5 linked regions of the Sus scrofa genome follow. The protein of the gene in region 1 purifies or fractionates together with the protein of each later gene. This does not show direct contact. Links are inferred from orthologs where the notes say so. Each region holds a gene or a part of one and is shown in the gene's direction. Other genes may lie near its edges.

Region 1 (4,203 bases):
CGTGTGAAGACCGCTTAGTTTATAGATCACCCTACTTCCAAAGAACCCAAACTGTGGAGGGCTATTCTGACTCCCCGTTTCCTCAGGGACTTCAGGATATCCGGCCTGACTGCACTTCCCCTCACCTGCTCTCGGGCCCATTTCGCTGAGGGCAGTCGCGCCCGAGGAGCGCGCGCAGCCACCATGAGCTCATTTCTCAGGGGCGTTTCTGGAAGGTCGGGCCTGGGCGCGCCCGCGCGCGGGGCTGTCGGCCTCACTCCTATCACTGGCCTTCGCGTTTGGGCGGGGCGCGGCCGCGCAGAGGTGGAAGCTTTGTTCTCAATTTAGCGTTTGAGAACTCGCACCCCTGCCTGGAAGCACACTGAATCCGTCCGGGCCTTTCGGGGAAGTAGCTGGCACTGGAGACGCGCTCTCCCCAGCGGAGGGAAACCTTGTGCGCACATGAGCCCCGCCCCGCCGGGAGCCTGTAGTCGGGAGGGGGAGAGAGCCCTTAAACCCTCAGTTCGCTTGAGCGCTCCGAGCCCCGACCGGCTGACTGCAGCAGTTTCCCACTGGCGGGCGAAGGGCTCGCGCTATCTGCGGTTTTCACACAGGCTGCGAGTAGCCACAGGCAAGCCTGTCTGACCATCCACCACAACCCCAGACGCGCTTCTCCCGGCTGCCGGGACCGCCGCCGAGGCCGAAGGCCAATCACACTGCAGCTAGGTCTCGCGATTGGAGGGCAGTGAGTGCCGATTGGCTACTGCTACCGCTTTCGGTCTCCCTCCTTTTCCCTTTTGCCCCCACTCCAGCTCCAAAGCTTGAGACCAATGAGAAGGCGCTTTATAGAGCCCTCCCTTCGCTTTCTACTTCTCCCCACCTTGGCCAGGGAGGAGACGTCCTGACTGGTCAGACTGTCCTCGGAAGCCCCATTCTCTTCACCAATCACCAAGGGAGGTACACTCCCAGCGGAGTTTTGGCCAATTACAAAGCGGTTGCAGCTCCCAGCCTTGCGGTTTCACCAGCAACTCCCGGCTTCACAGTTCTTAACTCTTCAAGCTTTTTCGTGAGAGCCGGCGACTCTGATTGGCCGCTGCTGCCATTGTCGAATTTCTCCTCCAGCCAGCCACAGTATCACTCCAACCCATCTTCTTCTCGGTCGGCTATCTTCGGCACTTTCCGCCCTTGGGCGTGATTTCCAGTGGTACTTTCTAATTGGCTCCTCTGGCCGATCGGCTTTTTCCGGGAGGAGCCGCAAACAAACGACGTCCGTGATTGGCTCCGCTCGGGCTTCGGCTCCCCTGCCGAAGGGGGCGGGCGCCGGGCTCGGCCGGCAATTCTCAGACGCCTGTTACGCGGGCGGAGGGGCGCTGGGCGGTGTAAGGCTGGGTGGGGGAGGAAGGAGGCGGAGGACGAGTAGGAGGGGGGAGGGGTTGGGGAAGAGCTAGGCGGCTGCGCAGACGGCACTCCTCACACAGAACAGCCCCCGACCCGGGCGAATGCGGGCTTTCGCTGCTGCTGCCGCCGCCGCTGCCGCCGCCGCCGCCGCCGCCGCCGCCGCCGCCCGGGCCCGAGTGACAAAGGAAGGAAGGAAGCGAGGAGGAGCCGGCCCCGCAGCCACTGACAGGGCTTCGGGCTGGGGGCAAAGCGCGGACACTTCCTGAGCGAGACCGAGCAGAGGCGAGGGGCGGGAGGGAGGGCGGTCGCGCCGGTGCCGTGGACGGGGGAGGGGGCCCCGAGGGACGGAAGCGGTTGCCGGGTTCCCATGTCCCCGGCGTATGGGGAGCAGTCGAGGAGCCGCTGCCTGGGGTCTGAAGGGAGCTGCCTCCGCCACCGCCGCCGCCATGGCCGCTGGATCCAGCCGCCGCCTGCAGCTGCTCCTGGCGCAATGAGGAGAGGAGCCGCCGCCACCGCCCGCCTCTGACTGACTCGCGACTCCGCCGCCTTCCAGTTCGCCGGGCCCCAGCCGTCAGCCCGCCGGATCCCGCCGCTGCCGGAGCCGCAGCGTTTCCCGTCGCATCTCCGAGCCACCCCCTCCCGCTCCCTCCCTCCTTCCCATCCCCCCTTCTTTTCAAGCGTGAGACTCGTGATCCTTCCGCCGCTTCCCTTCTTCATTGACTCGGAAAAAAAATCCCTGAGGAAAATATAATATTCAAAGTACTTATTTTCAATCAAGTATTTGCCCCCGTTTCACGTGATACATATTTTTTAGGACCTCCCACCCATTTCTACCCTCCAAGGAAAGGGAGGGGAGAGAATTGTATTTTTTTTTTCCCCAGTCCCAGATCATCTATATGTTAAATATCCGTACTGATCTGTCTTCAAGGAGAAATACATCGCTCGCATTTTTTTGTCGCTATACAAAAGGAGTGAAGAGCCAAGAGGACGAAGTCTTTTTTTTTTTCCTGTGGGAGAACTTAATGCTGCGTTTATCATTAACCTAACACCCCAACATAAAACAAAAGGAAGAAGAGGAGGAAGGAAGGAAAAGAAGGTGATTCGGGAAGACAGTGATCATGTCAGGGCGGCCCAGAACCACCTCCTTTGCGGAGAGCTGCAAGCCAGTGCAGCAGCCTTCAGCTTTTGGCAGCATGAAAGTTAGCAGTGAGTATTGATTTTATTTTACACTCTTTCTCCACCTCACCCTTTAAATAAGAGACTTTGAAATACCAGGATCTTAAAATATGATGTCTGATATAACAATCAGAGATAATGGAAAAGGGCAGAAACCTGTCTTCTGTCAAGGATGAGGCAGCTCCCTCTTTTCTCCTCCCATACTCCCTCCCCCGGTCTCATTAACCTTGAATAGAGGGAATATGATTTTTATTTGGATGATTTGACTTGAAATATTTCTTATAGTTTTCTTGCCAGCTTTATCAAGCGGTTGACTTATTTCCATCTTAAAATAGTGATGGAAGTGTTTACTTGGCTCATTCTCATGAATAAAGCGAAGGACAAGATTCATAAACCATTATGTGCTTTTGCAGTGTGTCTTTAGGAACAAGGGATAGTTAGCTCAGATCTCAGGGGTTATCATAGTTTTGTACACTTAATAGAGGAGCTAAATGTCACAGTCTCTTAACAGTTCTTTCTTGCCTTTGTGACTGTACAACGCATTTGTTCTTAATCCAGAGATGAACTTGCTCAGTGACCACTTTCACATTTCCAGGCAAGCATTGATTCCTCCTCTTAGAAGGGACCCGTGAGGTTGATACTCAGTAGCAGTAGTATCTCAACATGCATTGTTTTAAGTCTACCACTATAGAGTTAATATTTAATCAAAAGGTAACTTGGAAGTAGGTCCTGGTTTTGATCGAGATTTGTATTGTCATGTTGTCAGATACTGAGTTGAATGTTAACTGTCACTGACCCTCCATATATCAGTTTTGGGGATGCCATTGCATTCCATACATGCTAAATGATGTAAAGTTCAGGGGTCCCTTCTTAAGACTGTTTAAAATACTCTTGCATTGGTTTTCTTTAGGTAAGACTATCCAGTTAGAGGAATATGGATTTAGACCTTTTCATCATAGGTTTTGCAGAATGCTGTGGTCCTGGATATAATAGGGTATAATTTGGGCTCTGTTCAGGGTTATTACTAGACTGGACCCTCTTGCTAGATTTGTGCAGAAAAGTCTAGTTGAGTGGTACACTAAGTGTCAGATGTTCCTGTGTATCTCTGTTTATGTGGAATTTAAAGAGTTTATTTAAACGTACTTTCAGAATTTGACAAAAATATCTATTCTGTTTCCTTATTTCTCAAGAAAGGGGCATGATGAGGACAACGAAAAACTATTTGGTTGCCTAGAAGAAGGAGAGAATTGAACTGAGATTTTTTTTTTTAAAGTATATGCTGTTATGTGAAATTGATTATATCCTTAAACAGCATAATATAATCACTCTTAATTGAACCCAGGATTTGATTCATGTTGGCCTTTGGAGCTTGCCTAAGACAGTGTAGTCCAAGGTAATAGCTGAATGGTAGATTTTTTTTTTTTTTTTTTTTTGAGAGTTAAATTTTTTTTTGGTGACTAGCTAGTTGAGAATGCAGGGTATGTGAAGAGGGAAGCTGATGATGCATCTTTCAGGGAATGGTCAAGCTTTCTAAGCACTTCATGGGGTCATTTGAGAGGAATATTTTAAAATTCTGGGGTAGTTTTCAGCTATGATGAAGCAAATCTTTTAATAGCTACTTAAGAGCCTATTGTGGTACTGGAGTGTTAG
Region 2 (3,158 bases), on another chromosome or scaffold:
GAAGGTCCAGCTGCAGCCCTCATCCCTGTCCATTTCTTCTCTTTTAGGCCTTTCTGCAGAGGTCTGGCCTCATTGCAGATCTCCATGCCTTCTGCCAGGCTCACAGCTATGATGCCCTGGTCGCCATGACTATCTTTTTCAACACTCACAATGAGCCAGTGCGACAGTTGGCTGTCTTCTGTCCCCACACAGCACTCCGAGTGATGGTGAGTCTCTCTCCGTTCTGCAGCCGGAGGGCCCTATAAAGCTTTGCCTGTATGCACTGCCCCGTGCTATAAAGGCGTCTCCTTGGTTCTTATATTTATAGAGGTCTCTTACTCCATTTCCAGAACCTCCTCTCCCCACTTTTTTCCATTCTCTATATATGTGAATATTTTTTAATTATACTGTTGTTGAGAAAGGGAGATTCCAAAGAGAATTAGAGGGAAGTTCCCATTGTGGCTCAGCAGATTATGAACCTGAATAGTATCCATGATGATGGGGGTTCAGTCCCTGGCCTCACTCAGTGAGTTAAGGATCCGGTATTGCCGTGAGCTGTCGTGGAAACGGATGTGGCTCGGATCTGGCATTGCTGTGGCTGTGGCGTAGGCCAGCAGCTGTAGTTCTGATACCACCTCTAGCCTGGGAACTTCCATATGTTGCAGGTGTGGCCCTAAAAAGCAAAAAAAAAAAAAAAAAAAAAATTTCCAAAGAGAGTTAGAGACATAATCCCTACTTAGAAGGAATTGAAATTGGGTTAAAAGGTCATTTTGTAAATCTGGAGTTAAAAAACTTGATTCTTGGAATTCCCACTGTCGCTCAGCAGTAACAAACCTGAATAGTATCTATGACAATGCAGGTTTGATCCCTGGCCCCACTTAGTGGGTTAAGGATCCATTGTTTCCCTGAGCTGTGGTATAGGTCGCACGTGCTGCTTGGATCCCTCATTGCTGTGGCTGTGGTGTAGGCCGGCAGCTACAGCTCTAATTTGACTCCTAGCCTAGGAACCTCCATATGCTGTCAGTTCGGCCCTAAAAAAAGTAAAATAAAAAATGAGTGGACTTAAGGCAGTCCAGGGATTCTTTGGGTTTCTTAGCAGTGAGGACTGCTAAAGACTGGTCTGACTATAGCCAGATAATCTTTTTTGTTCATAAAAGGTATGTCCACCCTTTCCCACCTCTCTTTGCCTTTCTCTTCTCCTCCAGGAAGCAAAATGTTATTTCATTCAGTGGAAGGTAGGTTGACATTGTAGAAAGAACCACAGAATTTTTGGGGGGGCGGGGGTTGATTTTTTTGGCCACACTGGTGGTATGTGGAAGTTCTTGAGCCAGAGATGGAACCTGAGCCACAGCAGTGACAATGCTGGATCCTTAACCCACTGAGCCACCACGGAATTCCAAAACTACAGTTTTTAAAGGTATATAGATATGCTTTTCTGTGCCAGATTTGCCACTTACCTGCTCTTTGACCGAAGGCAAGTCAGTTGACTTCTGAGTCTGTAGGTGGCATGTTACCACCTCCTAATTAGTCTGATGTGATCATCAAACATAATGTCACATGTAAAGTGTAGTACTGAGCACAGTGTACTCTTACTCATCGTGTCATGAAGGAAAGGTTGCTTTGGCTGTAAGAAGTACTTCTCCCTGCCTTCCCAAATCTCCCCACCACAGTCCCTCTGAAAGCCTGCAGGTATCTGATGACTCTACCATTGCCCAGGCTGCCACTGTGCTGGGAAATAGAAGTCCTCTTTTCACAGTCTGCCTGCCATTTCCTCTCTTACTCTTTTGTCAGGAATAGTATAATTTGGAACACCAGGTTTAGTAGCAGACCTGAGTTCAAGTATTAGCCTTGCTTCATTCAAACTTGACCTTCTGGAGTTCCCGTCGTGGCTCAGCAGAAACAAATCTGACTGGCATCCGTGACGACGCATGTTTGATCCCTGGCCTTGCACATTGGGTTAAGGATCTGGAGTTGCCGTGAGCTGTGGCGTAAGCCAGCAGCTATCGCTCAGATTCAACCCCTATCCTGGGAGCCTCCATATGCCGTGGGTACAGCCCTTAAAAGACGAAAAAATTTATGTATACAAACTTGACCGTTAGCAAGTTACTAATCTGTCTAAGCCTCAGTTTCCCTACCTGTAAATGAGGATAATAGTAATATCAACCTGTAAGGTCGTGGTTTTTTGTTTGTTTGTTGGGTTTGTTTTTTTGGGTGTGTTTTTTTTTTGCCTCAACCTGGGAAATTCCCTGGCTAGTGATCCACCCCACACCACAGCAGTGAACCACGTGCTGTAGTGACAATGCCAGATCCTTAACCCACTGCACCACAAGAGAACTCCAGTTTTGGAGTTCCCATTGTGGCTCAGTGGTAACGAACCTGGCTAGTATCCATGAGGATGTAGGTTCAATCCTGGCCTCGATTACTGAGTTAAGAATCCAGCATTGCCATGAGCTGTGGTGTAGGTCTCAGACACAGCTTGGATCCTGCATTGCTGTGGCTGTGGCATAGGCCAGCAGTTGCAGCTCTGATTTGGCCCCTAGCCTGGGAACTTCTGTATGCCGCATAAGCAGCCCTTAAAAAAAAAAAAAAAGCCAAAAAAGAGAGAGAACTCCAGTTTTTATTTTACTTATTTTTTTGGCCACATTCACAGCATGCAGAGGTTCCCAGGCCAGGCATCAAACCCATATCATGTCTGTAACCAGAGTCACAGCAGTGACAACAAGGTCCTTAACCCACTCAGCCACCAGGGAACTCCACCTGTAAGGTAGTTTTGAGGGTTACAGAAGATAATTTTTTTTTCTTGCTTCCCCCATGGCATGTGGAAGTTCCTGGGCCAGAATTCGGACCTGAGTCATAGCAGTGGCAATGCTGAATCCTTAACTGTTAGGCCACCAGGGAACTCCCCAAACCAGATAATATTTGAAAATGGCCAGACAATGCCTAGCAACTTCCCATTCCCACTTTGATCTGCTCATTCTTTCGGCTTCTCTCCTTCCCCTGACCTCAGTATATAGATGCTTGTCCCAGCTCAGCTAAGGATAGAGTTCAAGATTTGGGGGGGTTTTTTGTTTGTTTGTTTTTTTACCACCATACCTGTGGCATGTGGAAGTTCCCAGGATAGGAGTCAAATTGGAGCTGAAGCCGCTGACCTACACCATAGCCACAGCAATGCAAGATCT
Region 3 (3,514 bases), on another chromosome or scaffold:
TCTTTCATTTCCGTTCTTTTCCGTTTCCGAGTCTTACGTGGATTCTGCCTTCCCTCACCCTGGGTCATGCGCCCCCGTTATGTCTAACCAGCTGTGAATGTTTATGTACCTCTTGTGTCCCCATGTCTGTGCTTGACTCTCCATTTCTTTGTTCACTCAGACTAAACAGTCTTCTGGTGAAAAGCTCATGGATGGCTCTGAAATCTTCAGTTTATTAGAGTCTGCGAGGAAACCGACAGAATTCATAGGAGGGGTTACTTCCACTTCTCAAAGCTGGGTGCAGGTGGCCATTCCTTTCCATCCTTGGTGTCTCTGCCTCTGCCTCTCTGCCTTTTTTTTAAATGCCTTTTTGGTGTGTTTGTGTGTGTGTTTTGTATCCAAGTGGCTTTGCCTTAAACACCCAAGGGTCTTCACTTACCCGGCTTTGTGCTGGCCCACAGATCCATTATGTCTTTAGTTCTCTTGTAAGAAATAGTGAGAAATTTCAATAGCTTTCAATGTTTTAAAGCATTTTGTGTTACCTATTAGGTCTAAGGAAGCAGCCCAAACCAATGTGCATGTGCTACAATGCTTTCACTTTGTTTTGGTTTTTAATTGCATCTTATACCACATTCTGTTTCTTTGGCGACATCCCAAAGAAGCAGCTCGGGTTCAAGCGGTGAAGGGGGGGCAGCGGGCAGGCACCAAAGATTATGGTGCGGGGAGTGAAAGCTAATTTCTGTTTTCTATAAGTGTTGCTGGTTATAAGCTTGAGGCAATTTGGTGAGTGACTTCTTTTGTGGGTGTTTTGTTTTATCTTTGGGCTTTGCTTTGTGGACAATCACGTTGATACCACCCTTTTTTACTATACAGAAAACAGAAACCAAGACGGAGTCCAGTGAAACAGAGACAGAAACGACCCAGCGCCCCCAGCCACTCAGCACTGAGACGGTGGTGCAGGAAACGGTGTTGGTGGAGGAAAGACATGTGATGAGCGTGCATGCAAGTGGAGATGCTTCTTCCACTGCGGGAGATGGTGTGGATGCTGCAGCACAGGCTGCCTCTGCCGAAGCTTCTGGCGTGAAAGGGAAGGAAGGCTCTGCTCTGACCGAGGGGGCGAAAGAGGACAAGGGGGAGGTGGCCGACAGAGCTGTCCTGGAGCAGGAAGTGATGGCCACTGCTTCCCAGGAGCCAGAGGAGGAGCGGCTGAGTGCTGCCATCCACGTGTCTGAAACTCTGGAACAAAAACCTCATTTTGAGGTAACTAGCAGTTAATGTTACTTTTCATGTGGAAGGAAGTCCCTGGAGGGTAGTTAAGGACGAAGGTGGGGCTCAGTTTAATTTTCCACCTTTTCCAAGAGCAGCATGGGCCTCGTCTTGGCTTCTTGCATGGCAGTTATGGGCATCTGTGCTGGTTTCCATCGCTGGGGCCCCTTGCAAACACATAGAATGATGATTCTTAATAACCTGTAGTTCCAGGAAATGGTCTCTACTCTCATTGTAATTAGTCATTGGCAGTAAATCTGGGAAATGTATGCTCGGCCAAGACATTAGGAAATTTAATAAATTTATTTCTGATCAGTTTACTTATCCAGAAGGACCAACACCTGGCTTGCCCCAGCACCAAATGCTAGGATTTATCTTTGGTCTCTGTTATTGAGATTCCTGAAGTCTCTGAGTGGGGCAGTGGTTCAGTGTCATATTACTTGTTCCTTCTCTCTAAGAAGTTATGAAATAAAAGCCTCATTTAGGACTTTCCATCCATTAAAATTAGTTCATGAGCTAGAGGAGAGGGAAGGTGAAAATGTGGGTTTTGGTCAGTTTCCTTCAAAACCATTTCCTTTACCTGGAACCTTCCACGTGAAGAATGTTGTGGAGACTGACACGTATCTGTCGTGTGCTTCATTCCCCAACTTACCCCCCCATGTTATGTGTGAACATTTATTTCATACTAACCTGTGCTGACATAATATCCACCAAGAGGGGAGAGAAGAAACAAAACAAAAAGCATGTGTTGGTGCAAACTGTAACAGCCACTCTGCCTGCTTCCCGTTGGTATAGTCATCAACTGTGAAGACAGAAACCATCAGCTTTGGCAGTGTTTCACCAGGAGGAATAAAGCTAGAAATTTCTACCAAGGAGGTGCCTGTAGTTCACACAGAAACAAAAACCATAACATATGAATCATCACAGGTAAGACTGTGAAATCTACGAAGGCCAGGGCCCTGGCCCTTGTTTCCCCGCTTGAATGCACTTCAGTGTAACTGTATGACATTGAATTTGTGAGCCTCAGAGGACTCAGCAACCAGACTGTCTCTCTCAAGAGCAAGGCCATAATTGTAATTCTTTTACCAATCCAGGAAGAGCAGGTGACTTAGGCAGGTCATCTTGTATCTCAAAATGGAGCAAGAAGCTCAGAAACCTATTACCTGAGCTGTAGATAAGGCAAAACACTAGCTCAGGCGGCCTCTGCGCACATTTCTGAAGCCCCAATTTTTTAATGATGGTTAACAGTGGCCGTCTTTGGTTCGTTCCCACTCAGAGGGGCAGCTCCCAGGCTGGTGGAGCCACACAGAGAGGGCAGATGATTAAATCACCATTCTCATGCCCTGAACCCCGTGCATCGGATGTCCGAAGAGGTAACATAAACATTCAAGTGTGGCATCTCCTCCCTCCCGCTTAGGTTGATCTTGGCGCTGATTTGGAGCCGGGGGTGCTAATGAGTGCCCAGACGATCACATCTGAAACCACCAGCACCACCACCACCACCCACATCACCAGAGTAAGTGAGTGGGAACCTATAAAGGCCGGTAGCCATTCAGAACTTCCGGGTTGGGCTGCACAAGCAGATCCTCATGTGACTCTGGGATGCCGGGCAGCTGCCCTGGAGCTTTCACGGCTGCTATCTTTGTGGGGCATTTGTGCTCCCGTTACCGTGCTGGTGAGGACTGTGCATCCAGATAACCCTCTGCTTTATACGTACTCCAGGGCTTACATAGGACATAGGGCGGCTGTTCCAGAGGCCCTGGCCAGCCAAACCCAGAGGACCCTATTCTGTCCTTCCTTCTGAAATTAGCAATTGTGACTAACTGCTGTAGGGTTCCGTTTGGATTCCGAAAGAAGGAGTGAGGTTACTTGAAGCTGTGCTAGCGTTTTCTGCCATTTCCCCCCAGTCAACAGTGAGGGTAATGTCATAACGCTTGATTATTCCTTTCAGACTGTGAAAGGAGGCATTTCAGAGACGAGAATCGAGAAGCGAATCGTTATCACAGGAGATGCAGACATTGACCACGACCAGGTAGTGTGTTAAAGACGGTAGATGCCCCGGCAGAGAGACAGAAACATTGGTGGGTCCTGCTTTTCCCCGAGCGGTCCCTCTAGTCCAGCCTGTAGCCTCAACAGTTTTCTGAGTTAAGTTTCTGATACGCAACGTGTAATTCCTTTTGCAATCATTGTGCCCCATTTGTAGACTGTGTTTATAGATCTAGCGCCTAAGTCTCTGCCTTGCTCTGATCATGCATGTTCCACCTCCTTT
Region 4 (3,514 bases), on another chromosome or scaffold:
ATTGTTCTTTGTCCAGAACAGAGAAAAGGCAGGACCTGTGGGCAGGCATCACTCTTCCTGCTGGGCCTCCGTGCCTCTGCTCCCTGCCGGGGTCTTGAGGAGGGAGCCCCCCTTTCCCCATCTATGCGGTACATGTGCCCACCCTGGCCTTCCAGGGCCCTGCAGGGGGTTAAAGAGCCCAGTGAGGGCCAGGGGCATTTCTTGGTCACTTTGCCCTCAATGCGGGACAGGTGACACCTGCACCTTAGCGCATCCCGAGTCCTGCTTGCCCCTTCTTGGTGGGCTTTATCCCAGGGGAACACATGGATTTGGCTCCAGCTACATCTGCACTGAGCAGGGCCGGGACTAGGAGGGTAAGGGGGACACCTGGGCACACAGGTAAAAGAGGAGCCCAGGAGGTGCCATTCTGCTGCCATCTCAAGCCAGGGAGGAGAGTGGAGAACTGTCACAGCACTTAGCCACCTGCCAGGTGAGCAGGGCTCTGGAGTCCACCTCCAGGGCCCTGAGACCCCGACCCTTCTGGAGCAGGCCCTGCCCAACTTCGCCAGCCACCTCCACCTGGGCGCTGATTTGGGACCCCGAGTGCCACCCTTTGTAGGGGAAGGGATGGGGCTCAGGGCTGGGACCCTGCTGGTGACTGACAGCTGACAGCAGGGTATGGAGCTGGGCTTAGATCTCTGCCTTTTACACATGGGTGAGAGAGTTCTGGAAATGAACCAGGGGGATTGGGGAACGGGCCTGGCTGCTGTTAAGTTTTTTTGTATCTTGCACAGACACAAGGTGAAACTAATTACACAAGCGTGCCCCTCCAGGGGTTCATTTTGATCTGAGCTTTGACTCGGCTGGACTTTGAGTGGAACTGCAGGTGACCTTCAGGGGAGAAGGGCCGGGGAGTGCTGAGCAGAGAGGCTGCTGGGGAGGCGCTCAGTCACTCCGGCCACATCTGGCTCTGATTTTTTTTTTTTTTTTTTTTGCTAAGGCACACTTAATAAGCCTGGCTTTGAAGCCCCGGCCTCCCCTTTAATGCACAAAGACTTGCACAAATGGTTGACTCGCAAATTCTTTACTGATTGGATCAGGCTGTGGCGAGGTCCTTCCCAGCTGCCTTATCTGTCTACACTTGCTCTCTGGGCCGGAGCTGCCCTCCTGGGTCGAGGGGGCGCTGGGTGCGCTGCTGCGTCCCCCCAGCAGGGGTGGTGCTTCAGCACGCCCTTTGCACCCCCTTACTCCCCCATCCGAAGCCCGGTGAGGATGGGTCTGGGGAGTGGGGGACCTGGGCTGTGTCGAGGAGTCGCAGCATGGCAGAGGTTCAAAAGGAGAACAGTCCCTCCCGACGTGCCAGACGCTCTTGGTGCCAGATGTCGGAAGAAAGCAAAGTTCGCCACAGAAAGCCTGTTGCAGTGGGAGAGCCCACTGCTTGGAGAGGACGAGGGCAGCGCAGTGCCTTTGAAGGCTCGGGGGGCCGCCCAGGGCAACGTGGCCTCTCCCCTCTCTGGAAGAGGCTGCCGTTATGTAAAAGCATCCGAGCATCGCGTGTCTGCTCGGAAAGCCCGGGAGAGCCCGACGCCCTGAACCTGACTGATGGCTGGGCCAGGCCGGGCCGGGAGGGCGTCGGGATTGGGAAGGTGACGTTCCCTGCCTGCAGCCCGCGGTCTGCCCAGCCCCATCGCCGCCCCATTTGCTCGCCATCTCCTGAACCCCCCCAGAGAGTCTGAGCTCCTGGCTCTGAAGCGGCTTCACCACTGACCCACCAGAGCCGGGCTGCCCACCGCGATGCGCTGGCTCAGCTGGGAATGCCAGGAACCAAGACCCTTGACTCCATCCAGCTGTTTCACTTTATTTAGCCTTATCGCCTATGAAAGTATTTGGCTCGCCTTCATTAAAGAGGAAAGAAATTGAGCTCTAACCAAGGGGAATTTGAAAGAAAAAAATATTTTTCAGGACAGAAACCAAAAAACAACCATAACCCTGAGACACCGTCTCTTTTTCTGTGTTTTTTTTTTTTTGGAGGAGCTGTTCCCCCCCCACAGGGGAGGAGCTGTGACCCGCCCTCCATGAGTGGCCTTTCTTCACGGAAGGTGTCAGCTGGCAGGGCCGACACCTGAAGAAGGGTCTCCCTGGCTGGGGATGGCGAAGGAAGAGGCTTGGGTGGGCCTGGGCCTGCAGGATGGCACTTGTTGTCGAATGTGACGCTGGTCATTTACGTCCGTGCAGTTAAACAGGCTGGGGTGGGACGAAAGGAACCTTTTATCAACAGGCAGGAGGGCCTTTGGTGTGTCACCCTGGAGGAGGGGCGGAAACAGGGAGAAGAGGGGACAGTGGTGTGGGGACGAGGCTGTCGGCCGCCCTGGGAAGCAGCACTGGCCTGGCCTGCCTCCCGCAGCGGCCACAGAGGAAGCAGCCCGTCCCGCCTGTCCCCTGGCCATGCCCGTCTCCGAGACCGGCCGGAAGGGATTCCCTCCCCAGACTTCTGTAGGATCAGAGTGGCTGACTCCGGGGGTGGCTTGGCGGGGTCGCCCCCCCCGGGGGGGGGGGCGCTGCTGCAGGTGACCTCGAGGCATGCCCCTGCCTCCATCCCCCACAAAGGGGGAGAAGGAAGGAAACTCTGCTCCACAAAGTGTACTTTTCACCAAGTGTGTGGGGGCGGGGGGACAGCAGCCGTTCTGGGCTGGAGGTCCTGGGTTCTCAGGTGGCGGGGGGGCACCCAGCCCACCACCTCCAGGGTGCCTTCCCTTGCACCAGCCCGCTGGCTATCTCAAAGCAGATGTGGGCAGAGGTTTCCCTGCCACCTGTTGTACCAGCCCTCTTCAGATACCTTAGTCCTCCGGGGTTGACAGACTCAGTAGAAAATGCAGCTTAACCAAGACGTGTGTTGGGTCTTCCTTTGAAGGTATTACTTCAAAACAGCGAGCGACGAGTTCGCCTGTGGAGCGGTTTTCGAGGAGATCTGGGACGATGAGATGGTGCTGCCTATGTATGAAGGCAGGATTCTGGGCAAGGTGGAGAGAATCGATTGAGCCTCGGGCGGCCCGCGGGGCCCAAGCCCTCACGACCGGCCTTGGACGTGAGCGCCCGCAACCCAGCCCTTTGAAGGAAGACTCAACCAGTGAAGACGTCGAAGTCTGGGGGAAGACTCTTGGCCACGGGGCCTTCGGGAGGGTGGGGGGAGGTTGGCTTTCATTATTCCCCAGCTGGGTACGGAGATAAGAAAAGCCTGAACTATTTATTAAAAACATGACCACTCGTGGCTGTTGAAGATGCTGACTGTATTTGAGAGACTGCCATACATAATATATGACTTCCTAGGGATCTGAAATCCATAAACTAAGAGAAACTGTGTATAGCTTCCCTGAACAGGAATCCTTACTGATATTTATTGAATAACTGAGTCTCCCCCCACCCCAATCCCCAGTTTATGGATATGCTGCTTTAAACACGGAAGGGGGGAGACAGGATGTTTGTAATTGTTCTAAGCTTTGGAGTTGAGCTAGGAGTGCATTAATGATTTCTTCAT
Region 5 (4,134 bases), on another chromosome or scaffold:
CACCACCAGACAGCACTATTAAAGCCACGCAACTATTCACCGACTGGCCTTATAAACGTATCATCAAGCAAAAGCAGGCAACCGGCAGAGGAGGGCTTCACCTAACTTTCCTCCACATCGCAAACGCTGCCCGGGGGGCCGCAGTGTGCAAGGAATCAACCCTAAATAAAGAAATATTTAGGCATGCTGACATCCCCAAAGATCCTCCTCATCCTTAATCTTTCTGCAGTCCCAGCCCACGAAACAGAGTTTGTTTGCACAGCACCCCGCAACCCTTCCTATCCCCATGGGAAGCACTGGTCACCTTCCGCAGACCTCCCCCGGCCCTCCCCTCCACCAAAAAAAAAAACCAGACACCACTGATTCCCACAGTGTAGACTCCATCACCTCTGTTAAGTTTCTGGAGCACGTGATTTGGGAGCGCAAACTTGCTAGAAACAGATTAAACAACATTTGAACACATTTCTCTGGGGTCCTGCCCCACTTAGAGCCAAACAATTCCCAGGGAGGGACTGAACGTCACCAATCCTGGATGACACTAGGTCAAAGCGCCCTTAAGAGTAGAGTGAGTTCCGCCAGGCTGGCCGCCGGCAGCTCTTACCCATTTGTCCAAGGGGACCTGGGCGAGGGACCCGGTGCCCTGGTACAGGTCCAAGCTGAGCTGCTCCAGGCTCAGTTTCTCCTGCAGAAAGTGGCCCAGGTACCTCTGCAGGAGGTACCTACAGGCTCTCTTCTTGATGGACTCTGAAAACGGCCAAGGCATGATGAGGGCTGGCAGATGGGCTGACGGGGGCTGCAGGCGGCTCCGGCCTCGGGGCCAGGCTCCCGCTCCAGGCGGCGGCGGCGGCGGTGACGGCGCCTCAGATCCCGGCCAGTGTGCCCAGGCTGCAGCGGGGCCTAGGCCCGGGGAGGGCCCTCCATGCCCGCTCAGCGCTGGGCGTCCCTCAGGGCGACCCCATCACCAGCGCCGCGCCGCTCGCGCTAGGCCTGGCGCGGGCAAGGTGCGGAGTCCCAGCGGCCCCAAGCCTGGGGGCTTCCAAGGGGTTCCTGGTCGGCACAGAAAGAGGGTGCAAGACACCGCACGAGGCGGCAGCACCGCCTGCGACCGGGGCTGAGACGGACTCCTCCACCGCTGCCGCGCGACGAATTTGTTGTCATCCGCGGGGCGCGCTCCCGGCTGCGGGACGCCCCTGGCGCGTTCGCGAGACTTGGATTCCCAGTCCTGGGCCGGGCGCAGACGGAAGTGACGCCACACTGGGGGGGGGGGTCCGAAAGAGGCGGGGAAAGGAGACCGGAAGGGAGCAGTTCCGGCTCCGAGGGGGCGGGGCGAGAGTGGGGAGCGAGGGGGCGGCGCCGCAGGTCGGTTCCCGAAGCCTCCGGAGGGAAGAAGAGGAAGGCGCGGGGCGAGCACAGGTGAGCAGCCGCGGGGCTGGCGATGGGCGGCGGGAGGCCGAGGGGGGTTCGGGGGCGGACCCAGGGCTTTCTGAGCGGGACGCGGCGCAGCGGGTTGGGCCGTGAGGGGCTAGGGCGGAAGAGGCCCCCGTGCAAAGAGGGGTCTGGGAGCGGCTCCAGCCTCGGCCGTCCCTGTCACCTTAGACCAGGACCCCGAAACGGGCGCTCGGGACGCCGCGAGCTCCACCTGAAGGGCTGCAGCCCGTCTGGCTCACCCCCTCCACACACACACACACACACACACACACACACACACACACACTCCCTAACATTCCCCTACCCCCAGTATTGACCGGTGCCCATTGTCGGTAAGTTATTCGTCGCCCGCCTCATTTAGATACTGTTTTCCAAAGCTTCATTTTCGCTGCTCTCTAGCTAGCGGCTTTGCAGTTTCCAAAGCGCTTTATCCATCCTGGGTGTGCTGCGCCAGCGACGGGAAACTTCGAGTCTTCGAGGCATTGGTGGGCAGAACTGCTTTCTGTGATCGATGCCAAAGCCTTCCGACCCCGGGGAAACCTGGGCAAGGTACCTGTGCTGTTCTGGGAATCTGCGCAGTCGGATTTCTGCCTTTTACGAGGCAACTCCTGCAGAGGCGGAGCCGGCTTTGCACTTGGTCAACCCCGAGAAGGCCTGAGTGCCGGTGTTCCATAACCCGGAAGCCAGGTGCCCTGGGTTAGACTCCAGCTCCTGGCACTTATTAGCCGAGACACCTTCAACTGGCCACTACCCTCTCTGAGTCTTTGTCGACTGTAGGCATGTTAGTAATATCTTACCTCCAAAGATTATTAGGAATCCTAAACCGGTTAACTAGAGAACGAATGTAAACGAGTCCAGATGCATACCGTGTAATGAAGAATAGTCAATTAGGACAACTGGTTTAAGGAGATTTCGTTTGTATGTTGATAACAAACGTCTTAGAAGTATTAACACAGCCCAGAAACGTTGGCAGATGGAAAAAGCTCTGGATCCCCTTCCTTCAACCACCTTTTCATTTTAGAACCACTGTGCTTTCCAGGGTCATACAAGTGCTGCGAATTTTGGTACCTCTCATTCTTTGTAGACTTGGCCCAAGCATTCTCAGTACCTTCGGTTTCCTTGCTCTTCATTCATTTAAAAATGTTTGTTAAGGATCCATTACATGAAAATCTGTACCATTGGTGATGTGAAAAAGGTGAAGAGAAATTCAGGGATCTTATGTTCTATAGTGAAAAGCCCATTCCTTTATTCAGTAAGTGTTTATTGGTTGCCTGCTATGTGCCAGGGATTGTTCTAGGTGCTGGAGATGCTGCAGTGAACAGATCAAGTCCTTGCCCTCAGGGAGTGCTTACGTTTTATGGGCACACAGACTAAAATCAAATATATCATAAGCCATGTGATAAGTGCTGTAGAAAAAAAATAAAGCAATGTAAAGAGAGTGGAAAGGGGAGAGATTTGTCAGCTTTTCATAGGGGTTAGGGAAGTCCTCCCTCGGTTGAGAAGGTGATATTTTAGCAGAGACTTAGAGGTAGCTGGGGAGCAAGGCATGTGAATACATGTAAGAGTTTTCCAGGCATGGGGAACAGCAGAGTGCAAGGCCCTGTGGTAAGAGCATGCTTAGTGAGTTCAAGGAATGTCAGGAAAGAGGAGCAGAGCTGGGGGAATTGGCAGGAGTGGGATGGAAGTGGGGGTGTGTCATGTAAGGCCTTATAGGCCATTATAGAGACTTTGACTTTTCACTTGGTGAATTACATGGGTTTGAGGAACTGAGTGACATAATCTGATGAAGTTTTTACAGATCATGCTAACTGCTGTGTTGAGAAAAGACTTGAGTTCCTGTCGTGGCGCAGTGGTTAACGAATCTGACTAGGAACCATGAGGTTGCGGGTTCGATCCCTGACCTTGCTCAGTGGGTTAAGGATCCAGCGTTGCTGTGAGCTGTGGTGTAGGTCGCAGATGCCGCTCAGATCCCCCATTGCTGTGGCTGTGGTGTAGGCCGGCGGCTACAGCTCTGATTAGAACCCCAGCCTGGGAACCTCCATATGCCGTGGGAGCAGCCCTAGAAAAGGCAAAAGGACCAAAAAACACACAAAACCCTTTAAGCACCACACCATATGGCCCCTTACTCATGTTGAGAGCATTTCTCCAGACTGTGAGGTATGATACAAATAAAAGTACAGTTGACCCTTGAACAACGCTGTGATAAGGGACGCAAACCCTCCCAAACTTGAAAATCTGCATATAACTTATGGTCAGTCCTCCATATACACAGTTGCACATCCGCTGATTCAGTCAGCACGGACAGTGTAGTTCTGTAATAGGTGCTGTTGAAAAAAATCTGCATGTAAGTGGACCTGCAGAGTTCAAGCCTGTGTTGCTCAAGGGTCAACTGTAATCATGAGCAAGATAATTGCATTCTAGCCCTCGGCTGACTGTTGCAATAGCAACTGACAAATTAAACTTTCTTCCAAAATGAAAATTTGACATCTGTATACTACTCTTGAAATCATTCTGGGCTCTGTTCTTTTGTCACCCTGTATATAAGACTGTCTTTCTAAACCCATTCTTGTCCTCAAGAACAAATATACAGTCTTTTGCTAGCTCTTTGATGCTATAAATTGGTGATGAAACAAAACAAAATCTACTAAATTAAGAAGTAGAGAGTAAAGAAATTAGTGATCAATATCTTGATAACTAGTTAATAGT

What was found.
Region 2: the proteins of GSK3B (region 1) and PRUNE1 purify together in Homo sapiens (affinity purification with mass spectrometry; 5 studies listed by BioGRID and IntAct, with this or other methods). This does not show direct contact. The link is inferred for Sus scrofa from reciprocal best matches to the Homo sapiens genes GSK3B and PRUNE1.
Region 3: the proteins of GSK3B (region 1) and EPB41L3 purify together in Homo sapiens (affinity purification with mass spectrometry; 4 studies listed by BioGRID and IntAct, with this or other methods). This does not show direct contact. The link is inferred for Sus scrofa from reciprocal best matches to the Homo sapiens genes GSK3B and EPB41L3.
Region 4: the proteins of GSK3B (region 1) and AXIN2 purify together in Homo sapiens (affinity purification with mass spectrometry; 9 studies listed by BioGRID and IntAct, with this or other methods). This does not show direct contact. The link is inferred for Sus scrofa from reciprocal best matches to the Homo sapiens genes GSK3B and AXIN2.
Region 5: the proteins of GSK3B (region 1) and GSKIP purify together in Homo sapiens (affinity purification with mass spectrometry; 10 studies listed by BioGRID and IntAct, with this or other methods). This does not show direct contact. The link is inferred for Sus scrofa from reciprocal best matches to the Homo sapiens genes GSK3B and GSKIP.

Annotation. Positions count from the first base shown.
Region 1 is NC_010455.5:140,134,707-140,138,909, forward strand, and holds the start of GSK3B (glycogen synthase kinase-3 beta), read left to right. Parts: upstream 1-1,402; 5' UTR 1,403-2,495; coding exon 2,496-2,583; intron 2,584-4,203. UniProt on the Homo sapiens protein: Constitutively active protein kinase that acts as a negative regulator in the hormonal control of glucose homeostasis, Wnt signaling and regulation of transcription factors and microtubules, by phosphorylating and inactivating glycogen synthase (GYS1 or GYS2), EIF2B, CTNNB1/beta-catenin, APC, AXIN1, DPYSL2/CRMP2, JUN, NFATC1/NFATC, MAPT/TAU and MACF1.
Region 2 is NC_010446.5:98,196,776-98,199,933, reverse strand, and holds part of PRUNE1 (protein prune homolog), read left to right. Parts: intron 1-47; coding exon 48-206; intron 207-3,158. UniProt on the Homo sapiens protein: Phosphodiesterase (PDE) that has higher activity toward cAMP than cGMP, as substrate. Plays a role in cell proliferation, migration and differentiation, and acts as a negative regulator of NME1. Plays a role in the regulation of neurogenesis.
Region 3 is NC_010448.4:101,665,208-101,668,721, forward strand, and holds part of EPB41L3 (band 4.1-like protein 3), read left to right. Parts: intron 1-160; coding exon 161-283; intron 284-852; coding exon 853-1,239; intron 1,240-2,040; coding exon 2,041-2,172; intron 2,173-2,662; coding exon 2,663-2,761; intron 2,762-3,196; coding exon 3,197-3,277; intron 3,278-3,514. UniProt on the Homo sapiens protein: Tumor suppressor that inhibits cell proliferation and promotes apoptosis. Modulates the activity of protein arginine N-methyltransferases, including PRMT3 and PRMT5.
Region 4 is NC_010454.4:12,312,198-12,315,711, reverse strand, and holds part of AXIN2 (axin-2), read left to right. Parts: intron 1-2,890; coding exon 2,891-3,017; 3' UTR 3,018-3,514. UniProt on the Homo sapiens protein: Inhibitor of the Wnt signaling pathway. Down-regulates beta-catenin. Probably facilitate the phosphorylation of beta-catenin and APC by GSK3B.
Region 5 is NC_010449.5:117,585,412-117,589,545, forward strand, and holds the start of GSKIP (GSK3-beta interaction protein), read left to right. Parts: upstream 1-1,330; 5' UTR 1,331-1,413; intron 1,414-4,134. Other genes in the region: ATG2B (autophagy-related protein 2 homolog B), read right to left, coding at 602-763. UniProt on the Homo sapiens protein: A-kinase anchoring protein for GSK3B and PKA that regulates or facilitates their kinase activity towards their targets.